Linked DNA regions of Arabidopsis thaliana. The protein of the gene in region 1 interacts with the protein of each later gene in a pairwise test. Each region holds a gene or a part of one and is shown in the gene's direction. Other genes may lie near its edges.

Evidence for each region.
Region 2: the proteins of HDA6 (region 1) and COI1 interact in binary tests that used the Arabidopsis thaliana proteins (3 or more experiments, as listed by UniProt).

The regions. Positions count from the first base shown.
Region 1 is NC_003076.8:25,312,301-25,322,495, reverse strand, and holds HDA6 (histone deacetylase 6), read left to right. Parts: upstream 1-4,148; 5' UTR 4,149-4,268; coding exon 4,269-4,808; intron 4,809-5,225; coding exon 5,226-5,666; intron 5,667-5,760; coding exon 5,761-5,903; intron 5,904-6,161; coding exon 6,162-6,252; intron 6,253-6,349; coding exon 6,350-6,480; intron 6,481-6,592; coding exon 6,593-6,662; 3' UTR 6,663-6,990; downstream 6,991-10,195. Other genes in the region: AT5G63120 (P-loop containing nucleoside triphosphate hydrolases superfamily protein), read left to right, coding at 425-480, 560-1,023, 1,110-1,289, 1,381-1,542, 1,627-1,781, 1,950-2,042, 2,147-2,232, 2,333-2,559 and 2 more; AT5G63100 (S-adenosyl-L-methionine-dependent methyltransferases superfamily protein), read left to right, coding at 7,073-8,062. UniProt on the Arabidopsis thaliana protein: Responsible for the deacetylation of lysine residues on the N-terminal part of the core histones (H2A, H2B, H3 and H4). Might remove acetyl residues only from specific targets, such as rDNA repeats or complex transgenes.
Region 2 is NC_003071.7:16,669,731-16,679,925, reverse strand, and holds COI1 (RNI-like superfamily protein), read left to right. Parts: upstream 1-4,061; 5' UTR 4,062-4,439; coding exon 4,440-4,930; intron 4,931-5,615; coding exon 5,616-6,096; intron 6,097-6,271; coding exon 6,272-7,078; 3' UTR 7,079-7,433; downstream 7,434-10,195. Other genes in the region: AT2G39950 (flocculation protein), read left to right, coding at 1-72, 154-269, 1,648-1,891, 1,969-3,168; ISA1 (isoamylase 1), read right to left, coding at 7,743-8,006, 8,086-8,203, 8,386-8,468, 8,555-8,635, 8,976-9,059, 9,214-9,369, 9,506-9,598, 10,002-10,088. UniProt on the Arabidopsis thaliana protein: Required for jasmonate-regulated plant fertility and defense processes, and for coronatine and/or other elicitors perceptions/responses. Seems to not be required for meiosis. Required for the regulation of some genes induced by wounding, but not for all.

The DNA.
Region 1 (10,195 bases):
CCATCGCAACTTTAAGATTTTCCAAATTTGATTCGACACTGTTGGCAAAATGTTTAAAGCAATAGACTCCCCCATCACAAAACCTCCAATAATTTAAGTTAAACAATTGTTTGGGTCCAATTTGTAGCCCATTAAGTGGTTAGTCATGGCCCATATCTGATTACCAACAAAATAAAGGAAATTAATTAAATTCGCGCAATAAAAAGAACAGAAAAATGGTGGGACAAATTAGGGTTACTAATTTGGGAATTTTACTGTCCAAAACGAATCAAAAAAAAAATCTAAGCTTTTTGTTCCTTTTGCGGCTTTTCGTCGTCTTCCTTGCACTATCTTCCTTCTGTAGCATCAATTCGTTTCCAAGGTTACGTAGTAGAATTTACGCGAGAGAGCGAGAGATCAAAAACCATAACCATCTTAAGTTACAATGAGCTCGTATGATCGTAGATTTGCTGATCCAAATTCGTATCGCCAACGCTCTGGGTAAGTGAAACCAATCGACCAATTTCTTCGTTTTTGTTTCCTTCGATCTGTAACACTTATCTTCTCTGTGTTACTTTAGCGCCCCAGTTGGTTCGTCTCAGCCGATGGATCCTTCCGCCGCACCATACAACCCACGGTACACTGGTGGTGGTGGAGGATATGGACCATCTCCGGTAATGGCCGGTGATAATTCCGGCTATAATCGGTACCCATCTTTCCAGCCACCTAGTGGCGGTTTCTCTGTTGGCCGCGGTGGTGGAAGAGGTGGATATGGTCAATACGGCGATAGAAACGGCGGAGGGAATTGGGGAGGAGGAGGAGGACGTGGCGGATCGAGTAAAAGAGAGCTAGATAGTGTTTCTCTTCCGAAGCAGAATTTTGGGAATCTTGTACATTTTGAGAAGAATTTCTATGTGGAGAGTCCCACTGTGCAAGCTATGACAGAGCAGGATGTTGCAATGTACAGAACCGAGAGGGATATATCCGTTGAAGGTCGTGATGTTCCTAAGCCGATGAAGATGTTCCAAGATGCTAACTTTCCAGGTATTTTGATTGGATTGGTCATAGAGTTTCCAGTTCATTTATATCTAATTTGGGTTCTTAGTTTAATGGTTCCTTTTATCTGTTAGATAACATTCTTGAAGCAATTGCTAAATTGGGATTTACTGAGCCAACACCTATACAAGCTCAGGGATGGCCGATGGCGTTGAAGGGTAGGGATTTGATTGGTATTGCTGAGACTGGCTCTGGTAAGACATTGGCTTACTTGTTACCAGCATTGGTTCACGTTAGTGCACAACCTCGATTAGGTGAGTATTACAGCACTATGTGATATTCTGATTTAAGCTGCATTCATTTTTCCGGCAACTTTTTTATTTGCATTGTTGGGGTGTAATATAGGTCAGGATGATGGCCCCATTGTGTTAATATTAGCTCCCACAAGAGAACTAGCTGTTCAGATTCAAGAGGAATCAAGGAAATTCGGGTTGAGGTCTGGTGTTAGAAGTACTTGTATCTATGGTGGTGCTCCTAAAGGACCTCAGATTCGTGATCTTAGAAGAGGTATTTTATTTTTTAATAGTGTAGTTTTCATGTCTGGTTCTTGGATGGAACATCAAAGTTTATGAATCATGATTGGCTTGTCAGGTGTTGAGATTGTAATTGCTACACCTGGTCGTTTGATTGATATGTTGGAATGTCAACACACTAATTTGAAGAGAGTGACTTACCTTGTACTGGATGAGGCTGACAGAATGTTAGACATGGGATTTGAACCCCAAATTAGAAAGATTGTATCTCAGGTATGTTTGTACTTTCTCCAAAGCTATCATGTAGTGTCTTTAAGGAAAGGGTGGTTGACCAACATTATTAGTCGATAGATTTTATCTTCCCAGTTTATTGTTCTGTTGCTAAATAAGAACCATCACGGCTTTTGTTCAGAACTTGAGATTGTTCCTTATTTTTCACAGATCCGACCTGATAGACAAACACTTCTTTGGAGTGCAACATGGCCACGAGAGGTTGAAACTCTTGCCAGGCAGTTTCTACGAGATCCATATAAGGTTTACTTGCTATTTAGTTTAACTTATTAGGATTGAGTATACTGTTGTTGAATAAAGTAGGGGATGTTTTATGTTGTGCACTGAAAACAGTTGTTATTTTGTAGGCCATTATTGGATCAACAGATCTAAAAGCTAACCAGTCTATTAACCAAGTAATCGAGATTGTACCGACGCCAGAGAAATACAACAGGTTCTTAATTTTTCTGTCATTAGATAAGAAACGATTTATATATATATTTATTTGCCTTCTTATATGATATGATACTTATGCCTTTTTTCTCGTTTGATAGGCTCCTTACACTACTTAAACAGTTAATGGATGGGAGTAAAATCCTAATTTTTGTGGAGACAAAGAGAGGGTGTGATCAAGTGACTAGACAATTGAGAATGGACGGATGGCCAGCTCTTGCCATACATGGTGACAAGACCCAATCGGAAAGAGACCGAGTCTTGGCAGAATTTAAGAGTGGACGAAGCCCGATAATGACTGCCACTGATGTAGCAGCAAGGGGACTTGGTAGGATTAACTGTGATACACAATAGGAGAGATTATACTTAGAGCATTTCGTTTTCTTGGGGTTTTAAAGATAATAAAAAAAGTCGCCTGGCTGCCGCTTTCCACAGTTTCCTCTGGTATTAGGGAAAAAAGCACATAGAAAGAAAAAAGGAGCTTCTTTGAAGAATTTGTTTCCTGCATCCATCTCCCGGGCATGGAGCTGATTGGTTTTTGAGCAGCCTGGGCGACTGACACCTGCATGCATTAATAGTGTTATAACGCCGTCCCAAACACTCCTTATCCCTGCAAGTTAAGGTGGGCACATTTACTTGGGAAAAATGTGTTGCTCTTAGTTTCTTGATCTTTCCAGATCTGCAGTTGTAGGGATAAGGGGTTCTTGTTCTCTATCCTCTCCTTAGCTAGGCTTTAAACACCAAACTCATTTACACAAAGAAATTTCTGTTCTTCTTCCTGCATTTCATCTCAGTCTATGATTTACTTCTCAACTGTGTTCCTTCTTTCTTCTTTTGTTTTGTTTTACAGATGTGAAGGACATTAAATGTGTGGTTAATTATGATTTCCCAAATACATTGGAGGATTACATCCATAGGATTGGTCGAACCGGGCGTGCAGGAGCTAAAGGAATGGCCTTTACATTCTTCACACATGACAATGCTAAGTTTGCGAGAGAGCTTGTCAAGATCCTTCAAGAAGCTGGTCAAGTTGTACCTCCTACTCTCTCCGCACTAGTCCGATCATCTGGTTCTGGTTATGGAGGTGAAACCTCATTTCTCTTCTCTCATTTGATGAGTTCAATCAATCTTGCTAAATTTTGGTACGAGGATCTGATTCAATTTTGTTGATTTGTTCAGGTTCAGGTGGTGGAAGAAACTTCAGGCCAAGAGGAGGAGGACGTGGTGGTGGGTTTGGAGATAAACGGTCAAGATCGACTTCAAACTTTGTACCTCACGGTGGAAAGAGGACTTGGTAAAGAGAATCCCATCATTTTGATTCTATGAGAAAACCTTTAATTATGATGATGATGATCAGCGTTTGGTTTCGACTAGAAGTTCTTTGTCGTAGAGAACAAACATTTACTATATAACTATTTAGCTGATTTCGCTGCTTCTTCTTCTTCTTCTTCATGATATTTCTAAACATTTTGCCTTTTTCTTAATTCTATCAACTAAATACACTTTACTACTTTACTCTCAAGTCAACCGTAACACTGTAATGAAACTTGTTTTTAAAAATCGGATGTGGATTATTAGGTTGGGAGATTCAAGTATTGCGAATAGAATTTAGACAAATGTAAGCATCTATAACATCTAGAACATGTATATCTTCTCTTTTTTCCCAACAACATCTAGTTACGAATCCTTAAGGTGAAATGTGTAAATAGATCATACTTAGCTAAAAAACCCTTTACATTTATTTGTCTAACATTGTCTACCATTAGGAAAACAAGTTAAAAATAATTCGCTATGTTTGAATCGAATTTGGAATTATATAATCGATCGTTAGTTTAACATTCAGTAATTATTAAAATTAAATTTTTAACGCAAAGATAATAATGTAAGTAATCATTAATGTGCGTGTATATATAAGCTGTGCCCACAACTCCTAGTAATGACTTTCTCAGGCATTGTTGACACAAATTTTGCTCTGAGTAAAACTTGGGAATAGAGAGAGACTCTGAGTGAGAGAGAGATTCTGAGTGAGAGACGGAGATGGAGGCAGACGAAAGCGGCATCTCTCTGCCGTCGGGACCCGACGGACGTAAGCGGCGAGTCAGTTACTTCTACGAGCCGACGATCGGAGACTACTACTACGGTCAAGGCCACCCGATGAAGCCTCACCGGATCCGTATGGCTCATAGCCTAATCATTCACTATCACCTCCACCGTCGCTTAGAAATCAGTCGCCCTAGCCTCGCTGACGCCTCCGATATCGGCCGATTCCATTCGCCGGAGTATGTTGACTTCCTCGCTTCCGTTTCGCCGGAATCTATGGGCGATCCTTCCGCTGCACGAAACCTAAGGCGATTCAATGTCGGTGAGGATTGTCCTGTCTTCGACGGACTTTTTGATTTTTGCCGTGCTTCCGCCGGAGGTTCTATTGGTGCTGCCGTCAAATTAAACAGACAGGACGCTGATATCGCTATCAATTGGGGCGGTGGGCTTCACCATGCTAAGAAAAGCGAGGCTTCTGGGTTTTGCTATGTAAACGACATCGTGCTAGGGATTCTGGAGTTGCTCAAGATGTTTAAGGTAAATGCTCCATTCCTTCTTTATGATCTCATCATAGAGAACTTCTTCATGTTCTTCTGAAATTTTTAGGGTTTAAGCTTATCTTGAGTGGTTTTTCTTAAATCTACCTGAAACCTTGAAGCCTTGTGTGATTATCGAATGAGCTTTGATCCTTTCATGTTCCTAAACTGCATATTACCTTTAGAATCTCATGTTAGGTCAAGTGCATCAGGTGTTTCTGATAAGGATGTTGATTTGTTTGAGAATGGTTTTCTACATTGCCTCTTTGTTTTCATCGTCTGGTTCTTTAAGTTTCTCTAATTAGGATTCCGTTGCTTTGTTAATGTATTCTGATAGCATCATTCAAAATGTTGATTGAGTGTGGAACGATGTTTCCATTGCTTACATCTTAATGCTTTCATCAAATTTTGTTTGCAGCGGGTTCTCTACATAGATATTGATGTCCACCATGGAGATGGAGTGGAAGAAGCGTTTTACACCACTGATAGAGTTATGACTGTTTCTTTCCACAAATTTGGGGACTTTTTCCCAGGAACTGGTCACATAAGAGATGTTGGCGCTGAAAAAGGGAAATACTATGCTCTAAATGTTCCACTAAACGATGGTATGGACGATGAAAGTTTCCGCAGCTTGTTTAGACCTCTTATCCAGAAGGTTATGGAAGTGTATCAGCCAGAGGCAGTTGTTCTTCAGTGTGGTGCTGACTCCTTAAGTGGTGATCGGTTGGGTTGCTTCAACTTATCAGTCAAGGGTCACGCTGATTGCCTTCGGTTCTTAAGATCTTACAACGTTCCTCTCATGGTGTTGGGTGGTGGAGGGTATACTATTCGAAATGTTGCCCGTTGCTGGTGTTATGAGGTCTTTTCCATCTCCTTTGCAGTTCTTCTATGTTTTTTGATAATCATATAGGTTTTTGTTCTTGAAAGTGTTTGTTTCTGTTGCCTCATCGCAGACTGCAGTTGCTGTTGGAGTAGAGCCGGACAACAAACTCCCTTACAATGAGTATTTTGAGTATTTCGGCCCAGATTATACGCTTCATGTCGACCCAAGTCCTATGGAGAATTTAAACACGCCCAAAGATATGGAGAGGATAAGGTAATATCTCCTACTTTCCATTTTTATGGTCATTGTACTTCAGTTGCCACTGAACTTCTAGCTAGTCCACTCTAATTTAGTAATTTTAACATGCTAATGATGCTCCCTCGAGATTGTAATTCTGTATGTAACATATGAGTTTATCTTTGTGCCGGTTCCAAATAGTTAACGAAAGCTTTACATGTTCAGTAGCTTACCTTCTTAGCCTTGTCAATGGGATATATTGAACTTAGAGAAAGTTACTTTTTGAAATTTCAGGAACACGTTGCTGGAACAACTTTCGGGACTAATACACGCACCTAGCGTCCAGTTTCAGCACACACCACCAGTCAATCGAGTTTTGGACGAGGTAATTTTTCAGTCATCCATTTCTCTCTTTGATGTTTTTAGTTGCGTTCTGTCCTATTGACTACCAACTTATTAAATCTGCTATCTCAAATCCTTAGCCGGAAGATGACATGGAGACAAGACCAAAACCTCGCATCTGGAGTGGAACTGCGACTTATGAATCAGACAGTGACGATGATGATAAACCTCTTCATGGTTACTCATGTCGTGGTGGCGCAACTACGGACAGGTAATTAAAAACCTTCCTCCTACTCAAATCTACCAACACTTGAATTGATCCTCATTGTCTAACTTCTTAACAGGAGATAAATAATTTAATTGATGTCTCTTAAAATCTACAGGGACTCTACCGGTGAAGATGAAATGGATGACGATAACCCAGAGCCAGACGTGAATCCTCCATCGTCTTAAACCAGCTTGATGGTTTGGTGTCTCTTTTGCCATATGATAATGTCGGCAGATTTAAGAAACAAGTTAGGGGAATGAATGATTCTTTGATGTTTTTTCAGCAACCTTTTGAGTTCTGTGAAAACGCTGCATTGATTAGAACAGTGACAACTGACTAGTATTTTGGCCCAAGTTAGAAAATCAGAATATGTGAAAAATGCAAAGAAACTTTTTAAAAAAAATATGGGCTTTTACTTCTTCTTTTTTTTTTACTTTCTCCGAAGTTGTTGTTACCAAACCGAAGAAAACCGATTGCAATAGACCCTAAAATTAAACCATTGAAGCTGTTACTAAACCGAACGGATTTAAACAAACCACTGAAGTCTCATCATCACCCAAATTCATCGAAATTTTCCCGGTAACTAAGAACAGGCATGGCCAGGGAGCTTGTGTCTCTTCAATACCTCCGACCTCCACTTCACATTTCTCGTCAATTTCTAAACCTCTCTTCTCCTCCTTTAACTCTCAATCTCCGGCCAAAACCTCCGCAAAATCCAATCTTTATCCGAACCGACTCTCACCGCAACAAAACTTCCGCCGACGATAACGGAATCCCAGCAGAGGACGTCAAAACCATCGCCAAATTCAAATCCCGTCACAATTACATCAGAGTCATCGAAGTTTCACGAAAAACCAATCACCCACTCGCTGGTTCTCGTCTCCTCCTTCTCGATAATCCCGGTAACATCCATAGCATCTCTTTCCTTCTTAAAACCTTAACCGATAGTTACTTCGACGTTTTCGCTACTCTGCCTCCGATTATACCTCCCGGACCAATTGGTATTCTCGGATTCGGAGCTGGTTCAACAGCTAGATTGATTCTTGAGCTTTATCCTCCTGAGATCGCTGTCCATGGATGGGAACTTGACCCTTCCGTGATTGACGTTGGTAGAGAGTTCTTTGGTCTCTCTAAGCTCGAAAGAGATCATAAAGATAGGATTTTTATCAACATTGGTGATGCTTTGAACGCTAGTGTTAAAACCGGGTTTTCGGGTATTTTAGTGGATTTGTTTAGTAAAGGGAGTGTGATCAAAGAGCTTCAAGATCCTCAAGTGTGGGAGGATTTGAAATCTAGGTTGAGATATAGAGGGAGGATTATGGTGAATGTTGGAGGTAAATGTGTGGAAGCTGAGGATTCAGATAGAGATGGAGCTTTGGTTATGGAGGAAACGTTGAGAGTGATGAGTCAGGTTTTTGGAGATAAGCTATTTGTTCTAACGCTTGGGAATGGGAATGATAGCTCGGTAGCTTTAACGGGTGATTTACCGGATCTTGATGCGTGGAAGAAGAGATTACCGCGTAGTGAATTGAGAAGCTATGTTGATATGTGGATACCTTATAGAGAATTCTGCTTGAGATATTAGTCTTTAGATGATATTGGTTGATAATCAGTTTTTGTGATGGATGCTGCAATGTGTTTGGAATTCAAGCTATGATGAAACCTGATTAGCTAATACACAAAACTTGTTCTGTCTCAGAGAGTGTTTGTTACAAGTGTACAAATTATTGCTTGGTCATCGTGTCTTTATTGGTGATGAATATTAAGGTTGTCTAGTTCTTTCAGAGGGATTGAGAATTTGAGATTACTCATTACTGTTATGTATGATTTGTTCTGGTATTATTAAACCTAAATTCGACAATGATCTTTGTCTCGCTCTGTTTAATCCAAATCGAAAATTGTGTCTCTCATCTTCTTTGGTGTTCTGGCAGTTCATACTCTGAAGGAGAAGATATAGACAGTGGTTAGGTTATAAGCCATTGAACCTTTATCACAAGGCAAAAGCATTACAGTCCACATTCTTTCTTTGACATCATCATTTTGCTCTCTTGATTGTTTCCAACGCATTAGGTAAAAAAAATAAGAATTGTTTGTGTTTACACTTAACAGATGATTTTTATTTATGAAGATGATTAATGATTCATTTGCATTTTTTTTAGTTCATTTATCATCTCAAACTATAGACAGCTAAGCGCAAGTTCTTGATCTGTACCTGGTAATCAATATATTACATCTGTAAGATATAGACTATATAGTCCCTAGCCCTAAATTACCATTAAACATGCTAATAAAAGTTGAATAATTGTAGAGATATTAAATCAAACGCATGCTTATTTCTTAACGTAGGCTTTTCGCCCATAGGATACAAATTACAGTAGTTGGGTATATAGTATCACTAGAGCATATAAACACCACAGGTTTATTTTCTAATTGTCTTTTTCACTTTTTAAAATTGTAGAGTAGTTAGAGAATATAGACTAAAGTGTGAAGTCATGAAAGATTGAAAGTTATAAAAAAAATCTCTATATCATTCCAATGCCTATCACTCTTATAATACTTGATAGGGCAACTATTCGGAATCTCATCATTTAACTTAGAAGTTAGAACCCATAGCTATTTCGTCTTTAAATTTCTTTTTTTTTTTAAACTGTTATCGTAAATTGAAATTACAAAAGTTAAAAAAAAAAAAAAAAAACCATGTTGAACATTAGAGAGCGCGAAACCAGTGCCACCATGTTGGAGTGTCGATAAACTGTGAAATAAATTGGATATGCCATTGATATATTTTAGCATAAATACAACATTTTCATGATCGTATTCATATAATAGTAAACGAAATTTATAATTACTGTAAGGGTTGTTGACTTTATTTGACTCAACACGTGGTTACGCAGCAATAAGCAATCCCGAGGGAGAATAAAATCTCTATCCATTTCTATTAAATTTGTTTATTTTTATTGTATGAGGAATACACTAAACTTCCGTATTAGGAGTTTTCAGTTTAAATTCTACCTCTCCTAATTTTTCCTTTGCTATATGTGTTTCATATTCATGATTGTTGTCTATTTTGTTATTCGATTCTACATATATAAAAACAAACAAGAAAACAAAAGGACATATTCACAAAACTATTCCTCCAAGTTGCATCATTGACCTCCCATATATACCTCTAACTTTACCCTTCCATAATCAGCACATGCACATTCATTAATTCAACATTATCTCTTATGTGTGTGTTGTTTCAAATGAGACCATATATATAAAATGTGGTTTCTATAGATTCTTAGAGTCACACTGACTTAATTAAATTACAAGAAGAAAAATAAAATTCGAGGGACAAACTAGGTACTAGTCTAGTTTTAGTAGATCATATGTGTGAGGAGGACCCATATTCCCTCTCTCTCTCTTTCTCTCTGCAAACCCTTTATAACACTTCATACCCCCACCTCTCTATTTGTATCATTTTATATGCAACCTCTCTATATATATTGAAGGGCTATATATATAGATCAATACCCATTCTAATCGATTACTTTAATCTTTTGATGGTAAACTTTGTTATGGTTTCTTCTGTAATATGTAGGCTTAGTGTTGAATTTACAACGTCGGACGGAACGAATAAACCATATCATAGCTCTCCAAACAACTTTCAACTTATTCGATATAGTTACTTATTATCTATCATATCAGAATGCGCAATCAATAACATTGAAAACTT
Region 2 (10,195 bases), on another chromosome or scaffold:
TTGAAGCCGTTGTTGAAGCTTAACGTTTCTAATGGAATGGCTGAAGATCGATTGCTTGCGCATCTTAGCCAGGTTTGAATAGTTTCTGAATTCGATGATTTTGGTTTCCATTTTTGTTGAGATAATAATACTGATTTCTTGTTTATTGAATAGCACTTCGAGCCTGCGGAAATTGGTATGCTGGCTAGATGTTTTTGCATACCTCTGGTTTCGGTTCGCGTCGGGAAGATTATAAAGGAAGGGATTCTAATGCGCCCCACTCCCATAAGGTAATCAATGAGTCCTGTTTTTGTTATAATCGTGTTAATTGCTATTTTCTTTGTTCGCTCTTTGTTGTCTTAGAGATTTGTGAATTATAGCTCTCTAGTTAGGTTTTGTTGTCTTTGAAGACGGTTCTTATGTTAGAGATGTAGCATAGCATATACCAGAATGTTAATTAATGGTTTGTGTGTAATCTGTCATTGATTAGGCGATTTTATGAATGCTTGTTCAATTGCAGGCTGATTATCTGAATCAGTAGTGATTTTGAAATCATCTGCTGATACAAAGTAAGTTTTTTGGGTGCACACATACAATTCCTGCTTTAGTTTTATTGATACTCTCTCGCTGAGTTTCTCCATGTTTGGTCTCATTTTATCAAATACTATACCTATTTTCATATGAATGGTTGTATCTCTGTTTTACTGACCTTTTGCAGTTCTTTATGTGCTAACACTTTGGAGGTTGGGGTATTACATAGTCTTAGTTCATATGGTTAGTTATGTTTGTATCAATGTATATCTAGCTTTCAGTAATAAGGTCTATCCATAATTTGCGTTGGTTTAGTTAAAATTTTAGAAATCATAGGATCTCAATCAGTCGTATAGTGATACTGTTCATGCTTCCAAATAAAATGTATCTTTTATTGTAGGTAATGTGGGCGTAATCTGTTATGATCTCTGGTAGATGATGAAGTAAAGGTAGTTTCATCACCAATGTTGTGTAGTATGTTCTTGATTTCTAGTCATATAGGGCTTTAATTTTCTCTCTGTTTTGTCATAACATCACTGACTATATATCCTTCTTAATCACTTTATATTATCTCGCTATGGCTTTCATTGAATGGTATTTTTTTTGTAAATTTAAGCTTTTTGTTTTCTCATCGTTACTACTTATTTGATTTAAAAGGTCTTTTGTGTGTTCTGGTGGTACTATTCTGTTCAAACTTATTACAATGGATCTATATAAAGTTCGTTTCAGGAAGCTCTTAGATAATCATGTTATCATCTTTTTTTGTTCTAGCTTCTAAGTTGCAGGTCCCTATGCTAAGTTATGAATAATGTAGTTTCAGTTAAGCTAAGCCACAGTCTTAAAAAGTGTCAAGTACCAAATTATTGAACATAATGTTTATTCCGGCAGTACCCTATGTTTTGTGAATATTAGTAATAGGCTAATAACATAGCTGTTCTGTAAACAGTTCTGCATGTTTATCTGGTAGATTCTTTTGATGTAGTTTGAATTAAGGGTAACTTGCAAGCATTTAAAAGCTCTTGGACTTGATCCAACTTCTGGTTTTCAGCATCTAGTGTTTATTTGTTAGTGCTTTTGATTTTGATATTAGAGTGTTTTTCCGACTGATTTCTTGACGTTTTATCTCCTATTGGTCAGGGGTAACCTGAGCCTTATGGTCTTGCCAACATCTGACTTGAGACTCTCATTTATTGGAGACAATGGTCATTCAGAACAACTCTTTACCTATACCAGCAAATCTCAGTGCTCTGCGGTGTCAATTGAGGAGATAACTGTGGACAGCTCTGGTAGATCTTTTGTTATAAGGATCGCAAATGGCAATGCTTTTTACTATTGGTGCTCAGAGAAGTCAAAACTTCTGGGAACTGAATTGCGTAGGAAGGTTTGTGAAATAGTGTTGTTTTAAAATCCTTGTCTGTGCATCTAAATTTTCTCATCATCTGTTGTTATCCTGTGTAGATGAAAGACTTGATCAAGAAGAAGCCATCAATCTCAGAATTAACTGGAATTGAAGAATCACGTCTTGGCTCTGTTGCTTCTCATCTCCGTTTGTATCTCATGGGTTCAGTGGTGCCTAACATCAAAGGTTGTCAGGTCCCATCTCCTGATTCATCATCATCTTCTGGCTTTTCTGAAACAGCTGATTCCTCCTCGAGTGCATCATCAAAATCTCTTAGAGCACGCCACTGTGGGACTCAACAGACAAAGACCCAAGGAAGCCTCAGCCCTAGAGCAAGCTCCTTCAAAGAAAACACACTGAGAAATGCTTCTCTACGTATCTCCTCTAGAGATAAATCAAAGGGACACAGTGAAGGCCATTTCTCAATCTTTGATAATTCATCCATTACCTCTATCCCCACCAATGTAGAGGGTTTTATCCAGTCAGAAGGAGAAGTTGAAGAAGCTACTGAGAATTATAATGGAATCAGACAAATTATTGCTTTTGAAGAAGCAGAGTCAACACCAAGTACAATGACCGGACCTCCCCCATTTCCTTTGAAGATGGGTCCACCAGTCTTTTCTCCTTATTATTGCTGGTGCCCTCCAACCACTTCATCGCTTCACGCACCATCTGCCTCTTATCAGTTCCCTCCACTATCCATTGAGCTACCTTCCCTTCCGCCACTTTCCTCCTTATTACCAGCATCGGGATCAGATGGATTCTTGATCCCGTCATCACCGCTCGATCTCTCTGACATCCCTCCATTACCATTAGTCCACCACATACCCATTCCAGGCTCATCATCATCATCATCCCAGCAACAGATGATGATTCCTATAATGTGCGACCCTATTGTTCATATTCCAGTTATCGATATCTTCTCTTCAGGTCAAAGCTATCTGGTAAGCGCTGGACCCACCGGGATAATATCCACGGGCATCCCTCCGCTCCCAGTGGAGAATGATTCGCTGGTCGAGAAAGGTGCAAGAGAAACACTACGATTGCTCATAAGCGGAGCCAATGCAACAACATCTACACCTTTGAACCATCATGGAAGCAGAGGTCTATACAGTGTGAGCCGGGATGTGAGTGGTGTGAGCTTGTTTGCACCTATTGGGTTGCAACAACCGAGTTCAGTTGAGGGAGGAGATGGTGGTGGTGAGAGTGTGAGCTCAAGCGAAGCAGTGCCTGCGCCTCCCAGAGAGACTTCTGGTTAATTTTTTTGGTTCTTTGTAAGTGTGGTCCGAGTTAAGTGTATAGAAAACTCATCTCTCGCCTAGTTTTTGGTTTTGTTCAGCCCAAGTCTTTTGGTTTCAGGTGTAATTAGTCGGGTTTTTTGTAGCTTGCTTATATTACCTTTGTTATTTCCGAGTTTCAAATGAAGCTAAGAAATACGATCATAATAAAAAAGTTCTTTTGCAGTATTCATTTTCTTTCATGGTTCCCTCCTTATTCATAGTCATTGTTGTTCTTTCTAATACTTTTCCTGAGCTTTTTTTTTCTATTGGAAAAACTTTTGTCACTGAAAGAAATTTCAATGTGATTGGTTCTTTTCGCAACTGTAATAAGCACTAAAAGTTAATAATTTGCTGCTTTTTAAGTCTTGTTGCTGAATGATTTAATCCCAAAGACGTTAAAAAAAAGACATGTAAATAGTCTTTGTTCCAAAAGTACCATTTTGAGCGCTTTCTTTCGACAATTGATGTTGAACTTGTACCAAATAAACCTTGAAAATCATACATCATTAAATGTAGTTTTTTGTTATATACTTATATTCATATGGTCCATAATATATAGTTAACCATATTATGGACCATATAAATTCATGCAGTCAACAACTTTTTTTTTCCTCATTAAAAGCTACTAATACTGTAGAAAATTTTTATCTTACAAAAGAAAGGAGAATTATTGTATTTTTATTTTAATCACATATAAAGCAACCAAAGATAACATATACTAGTATTTAGTATTTTTAAATTTTTTGCTTAGGATTCAGGTTATTAATACTCTATAAAGAAATAATTAAATCTATCCATCGAATAAATCACACAGCTTATTGGATCAGTTAAATATTCTAATAATATTGTCGTGTAGCTGAGATCTGACCACTGCAAAAATGAAAAGAAAAACATAGAAGTAGAGAGAAGATCGCATCTCGACCGTCAACTTCAGTGTATGAAATAATGATCGTCCCACTTGATCCTCAAAAATATTATTAACCAAACAAAATTTGATTCCATCGTCCCACTTTCTTCTTCTTCCTCCCAATCCGCCTCTTCTTCCTACGCGTGTCTTCTTCTCCCTCACTCTCTCAATCTCTAGTCTTCTCCGATTCACCGGATCTTTCCTTTCTTACTTCTTTCTTCTCACTCTGGTGGTTATGTGTGGATCTGCGACCTCGATTTCAATTCGAAGTCGTCGGTTTCTTCTCTAAATCGAATCTTTCCAGGATTCGTTTGTTTTTTTCTTTTGTTTTTTTTTCGATCCGATGGAGGATCCTGATATCAAGAGGTGTAAATTGAGCTGCGTCGCGACGGTTGATGATGTCATCGAGCAAGTCATGACCTATATAACTGACCCGAAAGATCGCGATTCGGCTTCTTTGGTGTGTCGGAGATGGTTCAAGATTGATTCCGAGACGAGAGAGCATGTGACTATGGCGCTTTGCTACACTGCGACGCCTGATCGTCTTAGCCGTCGATTCCCGAACTTGAGGTCGCTCAAGCTTAAAGGCAAGCCTAGAGCAGCTATGTTTAATCTGATCCCTGAGAACTGGGGAGGTTATGTTACTCCTTGGGTTACTGAGATTTCTAACAACCTTAGGCAGCTCAAATCGGTGCACTTCCGACGGATGATTGTCAGTGACTTAGATCTAGATCGTTTAGCTAAAGCTAGAGCAGATGATCTTGAGACTTTGAAGCTAGACAAGTGTTCTGGTTTTACTACTGATGGACTTTTGAGCATCGTTACACACTGCAGGTACACTTACTTCTCAGTATCTTGTAGCTACTTTGGCTCGATGCTTTTGAGGTTTAGCGACTCCTTATCATTTCCTACTTTGACTAGAACTCTAGATGCATTTGGCTCTTTTTAAAAAACTTAATAAGTCGTCGTTGTACAAAGAACCATATCTTGAGTTTGTGTTTGTAAAGATTTGATCTTCTTTAGCTCAATTGGGTAAGTTGTAACTTTGGTGGATACTTTTTGTCCTTAATGAAATTGGTGAACCTTACTTCATTTGATTTCTTAGTACACTTTACACTAAGAGTAATATAAGCAGAAACATTTATTTCAGAAAGTTTCAGTATTTAGGCGTTCATGTTTGTCTTATATCCTTAATTGCTTTGCAACTGTTATGCTTGCTATTAAAGCAGAAATTGCAATGATCTTCAGTTATTTCTCAATTGGGGAAGTATAAACTTTGATCCGGATTTTATCTACAACCAATTTTTTCCCTCTTTGGGGAACATTCACTTTGTTTATGCATAAATAGCAAAAAGATTGATTTCTGACATCTTCAGTCTGCCAGAGTTTATGTGTATTATTTGGTTTTTGAATCCTTGATTCGGCTGCTGCTGTTCTTCATATTCAGTTTTAGCGGGAAATCCAAATATCTTGAGTTGTTTCTCACTTTATTCATGCAACTGTCTGTTGTCTTGTCCAGGAAAATAAAAACTTTGTTAATGGAAGAGAGTTCTTTTAGTGAAAAGGATGGTAAGTGGCTTCATGAGCTTGCTCAGCACAACACATCTCTTGAGGTTTTAAACTTCTACATGACGGAGTTTGCCAAAATCAGTCCCAAAGACTTGGAAACCATAGCTAGAAATTGCCGCTCTCTGGTATCTGTGAAGGTCGGTGACTTTGAGATTTTGGAACTAGTTGGGTTCTTTAAGGCTGCAGCTAATCTTGAAGAATTTTGTGGTGGCTCCTTGAATGAGGATATTGGAATGCCTGAGAAGTACATGAATCTGGTTTTTCCCCGAAAACTATGTCGGCTTGGTCTCTCTTACATGGGACCTAATGAAATGCCAATACTATTTCCATTCGCGGCCCAAATCCGAAAGCTGGATTTGCTTTATGCATTGCTAGAAACTGAAGACCATTGTACGCTTATCCAAAAGTGTCCTAATTTGGAAGTTCTCGAGGTAAACGTTTAACTTTGCTGTCTTTACTACATACTTGGGAATGCGTCCTTAGTACTAAATTGTGTTCCTATTTTTTCACGAAATATTTGGGGAGATAAGGGATATGAATGCAATATTGGTTCTCTTTAGTCTTTACATCTATATAAGACTGACAACACTTGTTGTTTTTCTTCAGACAAGGAATGTAATCGGAGATAGGGGTCTAGAGGTCCTTGCACAGTACTGTAAGCAGTTGAAGCGGCTGAGGATTGAACGCGGTGCAGATGAACAAGGAATGGAGGACGAAGAAGGCTTAGTCTCACAAAGAGGATTAATCGCTTTGGCTCAGGGCTGCCAGGAGCTAGAATACATGGCGGTGTATGTCTCAGATATAACTAACGAATCTCTTGAAAGCATAGGCACATATCTGAAAAACCTCTGTGACTTCCGCCTTGTCTTACTCGACCGGGAAGAAAGGATTACAGATCTGCCACTGGACAACGGAGTCCGATCTCTTTTGATTGGATGCAAGAAACTCAGACGATTTGCATTCTATCTGAGACAAGGCGGCTTAACCGACTTGGGCTTAAGCTACATCGGACAGTACAGTCCAAACGTGAGATGGATGCTGCTGGGTTACGTAGGTGAATCAGATGAAGGTTTAATGGAATTCTCAAGAGGCTGTCCAAATCTACAGAAGCTAGAGATGAGAGGTTGTTGCTTCAGTGAGCGAGCAATCGCTGCAGCGGTTACAAAATTGCCTTCACTGAGATACTTGTGGGTACAAGGTTACAGAGCATCGATGACGGGACAAGATCTAATGCAGATGGCTAGACCGTACTGGAACATCGAGCTGATTCCATCAAGAAGAGTCCCGGAAGTGAATCAACAAGGAGAGATAAGAGAGATGGAGCATCCGGCTCATATATTGGCTTACTACTCTCTGGCTGGCCAGAGAACAGATTGTCCAACAACTGTTAGAGTCCTGAAGGAGCCAATATGATATGACCCAAAAAACAGGTTTGTATATAAAGATTTTTAGTCTCGAGTTTTGGGGTTTCCACAAACTGTGTACTATACTACTTTGGTTCTTTTTTTGTTTCATGTTGTGTCGTCGATGTTTTTGGGAGATTACATAGAGTCAGTCTTGTTTGTTGTATGGTCATTACTTCTTTATTTTTCCTCAGGGGTCTGTTTACTTTAATTTCTTTAATAAAACCCCGAAGATTTTGAGAGATTTCTTTATCGTCCATGGTGTTGACTTCTGAGAGCTATATTTGTTTGGATTGGCATCTGAAACTTTATTTGTGGTTGTGATTGTTTTGATAACATTAGTAAAAAGGCAAATAATAGAGTACTAATAATCATTTATAACTTTATAGATGAAAACTTTGATTTCTTGTTCTTACACGAATTCTGAAAACGATGTAACAAGCTTTTGATTGGATTAACAGACGATAAAGGAATCTATTAACAATGAGTGGGCATATCTGAAGCCGACCAAAGGTACCCCATTCAGATTCTTCTAACCATAAAAGGAACCTTTACTATAATACATTATATAGGTAACGAAATAGTTGTCTGTATATGCATCTCATTCACATTTGAGAAGATTCCTTCATATGTTGTGATTTTGTCTAATACGCTTTTGGAGGAATCACGCAAACTCAGGGGTCTTTAATTGGTGAAAGAAGGAGAATGATGGATGAGTAACTGAGCATTGGGTACACATTTGCATCTAAGAAGTGCCTATACTGCTTCATCGCCGTTTCTCTCTCTGGGAGATCCGGTGTTATGCAGTCGTAAGGGCTCGGTTTGCTCGTGTCTACAAATGGCTCCCATCGGTATCCTGGCCTATTCGGTAGCGAAACAAGTGTGGCTAAATGACTGGTGTTGAAGGCCACATAGATTTCTTTCTTCACAGAATCGACCTACCGAAAAACAAAAGGGATTAATATCACCCACTAAGGAAACTGTCCATGTAAGAGAAGGGGTATGAGAAAATGGTACCAGTGAAAATGCAACAAATCGACTTGTTTCAGACCAATTTGGGATCTCAGGAGCAAGACCATGCCACTGCAGACGCTTTGCTGTTGGGAAATCATTCAAGCCAAGTGATTCACATTCACTACAATACAGTCATAATGGCCATCGATCAGAGGAAACCCGAGAAACAGGGGATTGCAAAAGAAAGAAAACACATAGCAGTAGGTGAAAAGGAAGAAGCATGTCAATTATTGGATTTGAGACTAAGTGAAGCGATCAACTAAGCAATTAAGATCGATAGACTCATGAAAGAAGATTACATACTCACGAAACTTGATAAGAATACGGCAGAATCTGAAGAAGTCAGAATGTGCTTCTTCCTTTTTATCCCACCGAAAATAGTTCATCTGCATCAGAGTTGTGTTAATGTCGGAAAGCTAAGATCGAAAAAATTACTTATAATCACCCTGGAAGCAAAGCATAAGGGGTTTACATAGTTGTCATGGCAATACGTGTTGTTGTTTCCCCCTTTAGTATGGCCATATTCATCTCCCATGTAAATCATTGGGACACCCTGGTGATTAATAGTTCAGAAAGACAGAAAAGGAAAAGGTTAAGCAATACACTAATTTCAATGAAAACCGGAGCATCACAATCTGACAAAGCAGTACCCTTAATACATATTCTTTGCATGACACCATGCCATTACCAGTCACAACTTAACATGTTGCAAAGGCAAACAAACAGTGCATAGTACTTAATTGCTAGTGGATTTAGATTCTCTTGTGGCTTATTAATTTATATTTTGAACTCATGCCCTCTACTCCAGTATCATAGTTCAATGTGCATAACATCAGTGAAACGAGCTTTGAGCAGGAATTAAAATTAAAGAAGCAACAAATGGTTAGCTTTACTTGGGAAACCATGAGGGAAACAAAGAAATTCCGCATCTGTCGTTTCCTTAGTCTCTTCACCGAGATACTCGCAAAGTCTCCCTCCTGCAGCCCAATCAAATGAAGCCTTTTTAGTTTAGGTAAAAGTGCAATAGCCATTTCATTTCAGCTTATAAACATTCTACAAAAAGTCGTATGATATAATATGAGACTGAATTCACATAGCTGATGAAAGAGAAAACAAAGATTAATATCTTACCTCTCCACAGTTCCAGCTGTAATTGTGATTCTCTCCATCATTATTCTCTTCTCCATTTGCCAAGTTATTCTTATTGTTGTAAGTTACTAAATCTGCCAACGTAAAACCATCATGCGCACATATAAAATTGATGCTGTGCCAAGGTTTCCTACCTCCCTGATGCACAGACACAATCAGATATCGATAAGATATACAACCAAAATATGAAGCTTCACAGACAAAACAACCAAGAGAACACCATAAAGATTAGTTATATATCCAGATACCCCAGTATAATAGGAGTTAAATTTACCTGGTACAGATTTGGGCTTCCACAGAGACATTCAGCAAAAGCACCAGAAAAGCCATCGGTGCCTTTTATGAACTGTCTCACAACATCCCGAAACTGAAATGGACAAAAATGTTACTATACCATATCAAATTCACAACGAAGATAGATATCCAGCACAGTGCACACACTAATGGGAACTACCACGAGAACTGAATATTCATTATTGTTGTCTCATGTGTTGTCTATTGGATAGTAAGTTTAAGACTTCCATGTTCATTGCTAATACAGGCTAGTAGGTTACTATACACTTCAGTTAGCTAGTACAGGCAGATCACATAGGCTGTCCCATTTTCAATTGATTAGAGCATATTCTAAGGGTCAGCAGAAAGATGAATAACCACTAATAATTACATCACATTTGGCATGAAACCCTTATACACTGTGACACTTACTCTTCCATATCTCATGTCTCAAACAATTGAAAGAAGCATTTTATCCTCGTAATACATTAACTGACCTTTCCATTCCACTCAGACCAAATACCCCAGTGTGGAAACATGCCAACTTGGTACAGCCCACCCGCATCCCATGCTTCAGCTATTAGCTGTTTGCAAAGAAGCAACATAAACACATAAATATCTCATCGTCAAAGATCTTACATTGGTGAATGTATTTCCATCAAGAAAATGACAACTTTTTAACAATCATCTT